2 linked regions of the Saccharomyces cerevisiae S288C genome follow. Changing the gene in region 2 together with the main gene of any one other region gives a genetic interaction. Each region holds a gene or a part of one and is shown on either strand. Other genes may lie near its edges.

Evidence for each region. Genes that interact genetically often act in the same process or in processes that back each other up.
Region 1: mutations in BIT2 (region 2) and REX4 together harm fitness more than expected from each alone (negative genetic interaction), as found in Saccharomyces cerevisiae (2 studies listed by BioGRID).

Annotation. Positions count from the first base shown.
Region 1 is NC_001147.6:180,058-182,995, reverse strand, and holds REX4 (putative 3'-5' exonuclease), read left to right. Parts: upstream 1-1,568; coding exon 1,569-2,438; downstream 2,439-2,938. Other genes in the region: AVO1 (Avo1p), read right to left, coding at 1-1,314; Ras GTPase activating protein IRA2, read right to left, coding at 2,687-2,938. UniProt on the Saccharomyces cerevisiae protein: Exoribonuclease involved in ribosome biosynthesis. Involved in the processing of ITS1, the internal transcribed spacer localized between the 18S and 5.8S rRNAs.
Region 2 is NC_001134.8:742,619-746,580, forward strand, and holds BIT2 (Bit2p), read right to left. Parts: upstream 1,781-3,962; coding exon 143-1,780; downstream 1-142. Other genes in the region: EFM2 (S-adenosylmethionine-dependent methyltransferase), read left to right, coding at 2,234-3,493; HSM3 (Hsm3p), read right to left, coding at 3,743-3,962.

The DNA of each region.
Region 1 (2,938 bases), on a different chromosome or scaffold from region 2:
TGCATTGAATTCATTGCTATTACTGCGGCTGTCTTTTGAATCCCTGTTCATGACCGCCGTTCCATCATTTGTAGATTCATGTCCTCCCAAATCAGATACTGTTTTGTTTATGTTTGAGGTCACTGTATCAAAATTCAAATCATCTAAATCTTTTTCATTGATATAAGATTCCATATCGGAAATATTGTTGCTTTCCGTTTCCGTCAAACCGTCCCTACTCACCGATCCGTTACCGCTGGCGCTGCTTCCATCTCCATGTATACCTTTATTGGCATTCAGTGAATCAGATTTTTGTCCATCATTTTTATTGTCAGTTAAAAAAATTTTCCCCTTTTGACTTGTGGGGAAATGAGATTTTAACCTTGAAGCACTTCCTATATTGCCATTTGAACTCTCTCGATCATCAAGAATGCTGATGCTGTTTCTGTTATTTGTGTAGGTGTTGTTTTTATTGTTGGACATGCCGTTGATGCCTTTGTGGGCTGGACTTGCTCCAGAACCCTTAGCATCAAAATCATCATCTAACTGAAAAAATTGAGAGTGTATATCGTCACCTTCTTCGTCATCGTCGTCGTCATCATCTTCTTCTTCTAAGTTTTCATCGAAATCGAAGTTCATATCGAATTTACTGCCTTTCTTATTATGGCGAGCACCAGGTGGATGCAAAGTAGATGATTTTGCTCTTGTATTAGTTGTATTCATGACATTTTTATTTCCAGAAGTATTTGAGTGGTCCCTTCGACTTTTGAATATCCTCACGAAAGGAAGCGACGATCTCTTACTAGATTTCTTCTGCATTTCCATCGAACTATTTAAATATGAGTCTTCCTTTGAGGAAGTTTTGTGATGTTTTCCACTGGTATGGTCGTCATCATTTAAAAGAGAGTTCGACGCAGATGAATTAAGTGGATTATAACGAAGTGTTCCATTTTCTTCAACTATCAGAGTATTTTTTGCACTTTTATCTTGCAAATTTCGTGTTTCTTCCTCGTCTCTTTCAGTCTTCTCTGCTCCTATTAAATTCTGGTTAGCCTTTCCTTTTTGGCCTTCATTCTCCCTCATTATCCTCATTTTCCCTAATGAAGCATAGTTTTCCATAAAATCCTTAGATACCGGTGGAGACTCTAGTTCAGGTAACAAGCTTACGCCGTCTGAGTTCATATATAATTCACGGATAGAAGAATCTAAGCACTGCTCTGTGTTGAATTCATCTACGGGTATGTACGGTTTTATTATTCTTTTCATTTGATCTTTCTCCGGACACACTCGTAGAAACTGAGCCCGCAGTTCATTTAATACCGTCACCGTGTCCATTATCGTCTTATTATGGTGTGGTGGGGGTTTTACAAACACTGTTTTATTTAGTTTTCCTGTTCAGTAGCCTGTATCTATTGAGAATTATTATACCGTATATTTTTTGACGCGGGCTGATATGTAAGGTCGGCTAAAAAAAAGAAAAATTTCAAAAGTTAAACTAACCTCATCGCAACCACAATCCATTTAAAGCCTGGTTCTAGAGGCTTCATAGACGTTTACAGATTTAATAAAGTAGATAGCGTACAGTTTTAATGGCTCTCTCTTCAAACTGGCAGGCACTATTAGCCTCCGAAAGCAATCCTACCTCCAATGGAAAGAATAAGCAATCAAATAGGAAAATCAGAAACGTTAAGAAAGTTAGCAAAACAGTAAATGTCAGTAGTACAACCCAATATGCCCCTCGAAAGCGCAAAAACGGCAGTAAAATTATGGACATGGTATATAACATGAACAAGGAGATTAGTAAGCATGAGAAAGACAAGCTCGAGGGAAAAGTGTTTGAATTCAACCCAAATAAAGCAAATACTAGTACTACTATTAAAGAGCCAGTAAAAGTGGGTATTTCGGAAGATACTCGTATTAATAGTAATAAGAGTAAAGAAATTGGGAAATACATCGCCATGGATTGTGAATTTGTAGGCGTTGGTCCCGAGGGTAAAGAGTCTGCGTTAGCTAGAATATCAATCGTAAATTATTTTGGACATGTCGTCCTCGATGAATTTGTTAAGCCAAGAGAGAAAGTTGTAGAATGGAGAACTTGGGTTAGTGGTATTAAACCAGAGCATATGAAAAATGCCATTACATTCAAAGAAGCTCAAAAAAAGACTGCGGATATTCTGGAAGGTAGAATTCTTGTAGGGCACGCTTTAAAGCATGATCTCGAAGCATTGATGTTATCCCACCCAAAGTCACTACTCAGGGACACTTCAAGACACCTCCCATTCAGGAAGTTGTATGCTAAGGGTAAAACACCCAGCTTAAAGAAATTAACCAGGGAGGTTTTAAAAATTTCCATTCAAGAAGGTGAGCATTCTTCAGTCGAAGATGCTCGTGCCACCATGCTATTATATAAAAAGGAAAAAACGGAATTTGAAAAAATTCACAGAAACACTTTCAACTAAGACGGTAGATGAATGGCCCCTTTTATTCTTACAATTAAAATGCATTGGTATGTACATTAGTCTATGTGGCGCTTGAATTTACTGAGCCATTCATTACACGATAGAATATATAAAAATTGTAGCTGTATAAAAGCAACCCACGTAACAAATTGCGAAAAATTAGCGATAAGAAAACCCTAACATGAGATATGTACATTCATGCTTACAGATAGATATTGATATTTCTTTCATTAGTTTATGTAACACCTCTAAGCAGAACATGACATCCTTGATAAAATCATTGTCATTATTCTCTTACGTTCATAGATATCTTCAGGTTTTACATCTAAAGGTATCATCATGTCGGAGTTCTTCGCAAATATACCAGAAGAAGTCACAATCGATAAACCTCTTTTGGTTAGACGTTCAATGGATTCTTCGTGAAGTTTTTCTAACGAATTAGACTCTGAATGCGTCACTAATAAGTTTAAAATATCGAAAGCAAGTGGAACACAATCCGA
Region 2 (3,962 bases):
AAGTTAATATGATCTGCACTTTCCCCATTGGCCCCTTTATAGGGCGGAAAAGAGCATCTGTTTTTCCGGATTCTTGGAACAAGAAAAAGGAAATACACCTATCTATATGCCACTATTGTATATTACTAAATAAAATATTTAATTATATACTCATGCGTATGCCCTCAAGAAGTTCACCAATAATTCTTTGGTTTCTGCTGTTACCTTTTATGGTATTCAGGATCCCAAAACACTGCAGCAGCGTCAGTTTATCTTCCTCTGTGACGCCGTTCTGTTCTTCCTCGCTGAAAATATATCTTTGAAAACTCTTACTGGCACCGTCATTTGTATGTAGGAAGCTTTCGTAATACGGAAGAATGATGGAGTCTCTAAAACACTTTAATAAAAGGACATCAATTGACGGTGCGTACCTTGAAGGTTCAGATAGATATCCGTCAAGCCAGTAGTTACTATTTTTTTGGAAGCTTTTCTCGAAGGGCAGTAACACTGCCATCATGTCGTAGTAAACCTGTTGGTAAAACACCTTCCAGATTATGCCGACTCTTTTCAAAGCCGTATTTACGGTATCCTCATTGGCATAATTGAACACAATCTGGTTCTCTAAAATGTAAAGTGAAGTGGTAATGAATTCCTCGATTTCGGCCAAAAACCTTGAGTGCGTTACGGCAGCCTTGGTTTGTGTTTTCAAAGTGATATAAAATTCCAGCAGCCGGTCAATATCTTCTATTTTTGCTGGCAATTGCCATACCCTCTTGTTTTTAAATAGCTCCACAACTATGCTGCAGTATATACCCCAGATATTCCCCTCCAGAACAAATAACTCCTGTACGGTGAAGCTTTTATAGTTTGCTATCAAGGATGGCAAGTTTTTCAGTAAATCATGTAGTAAAGAAACATTAGTCGCGTCGAAAGCATCATCTTGGATCAGCGATAGAGCTGTATCATTAGGGTTGTTGTTAATGCTAGGGTTAAAGGAATATACAGATTTTCCAGAGTCAATAAGGCCTCCAGTAGAAGTATGGATAAACTGTACGGGTGACCTATGTTTACCATATGAAGAATGCAGAAATTTACTGAATGGGCTGGGAACTACGGGTTCAACGTCGTCTTTACCAATGGAATTATGCGGCTTGTAGGGTAAAAGCTTTTTTGCCATTTTGCTAAAGACATTACTGCCTTTGTTTGAATGAGAATGTCCTGTAGACAGTGAAGATTGTAAACTGTTCACACTCATATTAGATTTCGTATGAAACAATTTAGAGCCACTCCTACTTATGTTGTTACTACTTGTGCCGGTAATAACAGTGCCGTAGTTTTTTGACCCGCTCCTGCTTCGATTTCTCATATTATCTTTTGAATTGGTGAAGATGGACAGTCGCCTTTTATTGCCCCTTGAGTTGGAAGAAAATAAACTATCATTAGACGTGGTGTTCCCCTCCATTCGGTTACTACTTGATGAACCTATTTCGGAGTGACCATCGTTATTCTCCGTGCCTTGGCTGTACTCCTCTTCAATCGAATCCGTCGAGCGCCTTGCATTGGAACCATCATGGAATATAGATTGAAACCCCACCTGTGACCATCTAGGAGCGGCATCATGAGGAGATTTGGATGTTTTTAGATGCACATCTTCGTCGGGATGTGTCAGCGCTTGCGGTACTATATCAGAAGAAACACTATAAACTCTAGCTGGTTTGCGATTAGTTGCTTTTATGTTCGGGTTCGTGACGCTCAGTGAGCCTGAGGTAGCACTTCTTTTACGATTTAGGTCTGTTGCCATTGCTTGACTCTGTAGTTTAAGACTCGCCTAGCCACTTATGCTTATTGTGGTTTGTATTTTTTATTTACTGTCTTCTATCTTTCTCCCTTTAATTTTGACCTTATTTTAAAGCCCGCAAAGATCGCTGAAAAATTGCTAGTAAAGGTCGCATGCAAAATGGATAAAGTGCTCTTGTCAAATTATTTCAACACCTTCATTCGCAGTATAGTGGTATATTGGATTGGGTAAAGGAAAACAGGCGACACCAATATTGGTTTAAGCTAGTAGCGTATGCAGCTCTATCCAGGCATTAAAATTGGTTCACCTATTTCTGATAGTAGTTTTTTTTTTTCCAATCGTAAATTTTTTCTTCAATTTCGCGATGAGCTACAAAATAATAGTAGTGCAATCTGTATATTACTTTTCAAGTATCTAACTCATGCAAGTTAGGAGTTCCATAGCGGATATTTCACTATGTTTGATCCTCTCGATTTGTACACCCCTGATGACATCCAGGTTGAGGCTTTACAGTTCAATCTAGCAGAGAGAGAGCCAAAAGATCCTTGCTCACCGCAACGTGACGAAATATTAACGGCTGTAGATGAAGAAGAGAGTGACGACGATGACACCATTATCGATAATCTGGATCTGCCCTCCGTGAAGTATGCTCCGCCAGAAGTTATCCTTTGTATACTAATACTTCTGAAGCCCGATAGACAAGTAAACTTCAATCAGGAGACAGGGAAGAACAAATCTGTACTGGAGGTTTGCAAGAGTCATGGGCTGGAACCCGATCTGCTGAAAAGACTTTTGACTTGGTATACAGAAGAATGGCCTAACAAGAGGTTAAACTCGTTGGAAAAGATATGCAATAAAATCCCAATGCTGAGATTTACAGTATCCAAAGAACTACTGTTGGGCTACTATACTAGTGTATTGAAAAAATACAATAATAGTTGCGGATTGAATGAGGAAATCATACAAGAACTTCTTAAGGAATTGAGCTCAAGGATATCCGAAAACTGTGGGAGAACGGCCCAACCATCCATAGTAAGATATTTTGAATTAAGAAATCTAAGCACTTCCATACCGCTTCATGAACCCTCTTTAACGGCCGATAATCTTGGTTGGAAAACATGGGGATCATCTTTAATACTTTCACAATTAGTCGTAGATCACCTGGATTACCTACATACCACTAATGTGAACATGTTAGCGAACAGCGACATCAAACAGATTAAAGTATTAGAATTAGGAGCGGGCACTGGTTTAGTAGGACTTTCATGGGCCTTAAAATGGAAAGAACTTTATGGAACTGAAAATATAGAAATCTTCGTGACGGATTTACCCGAGATTGTGACGAATTTGAAGAAAAATGTGTCATTAAATAATTTAGGAGATTTCGTTCAAGCAGAGATATTAGATTGGACTAATCCTCACGATTTTATAGATAAATTTGGACATGAAAATGAATTTGACGTCATATTGATCGCCGACCCGATATATTCGCCTCAGCATCCGGAATGGGTAGTTAACATGATATCGAAGTTTTTGGCGGCATCAGGGACCTGTCACCTAGAAATACCTTTAAGGGCAAAATACGCCAAAGAACGAGAGGTTTTGAAATTATTACTAAAAGAGAGTGATTTAAAAGTAGTTGAAGAACGGCATTCAGAGGGTGTGGATGATTGGGGTGCCGTTAAGTATTTATATAGGCAAATCGTTCGCAATTAGTGGGAAAGAAACGAACGCGCTTAGGCGAATAGTTTTTCTTTATAATAAAAATCATGCATGCTACATAGACATTGAAATGTGAATTATAAGTACTTGCCAGACCTTACATACTGATTTATACAATTTATGGAGAAGAAAACTGAATGGGCCACCTCGCCAAAAGGTTAGTTTTTGATTCAGACAGGAATCAATACTGGTAGTACATTAAACAATCAAGGCCGCCTTTATAGTTGCGCTTATGCAACATAATCATCTGCAATCTGCAATCTTAGTTTCACTGCCTGTGGAATAATTTTTTCCGTTAACTGCTTTGGAGTATTCTCGCAATAAAGGTTCATACCATACACTTAACTTTTCTTCACCTTTGTCCAGTAAATTTCTCAAGGCAGAATTCCTATAATGCACAGTCTCAAGATCTATAATAGCACCTGCGCTCCCATCACCTATCAAGCTGCCCATCACCTTTGGC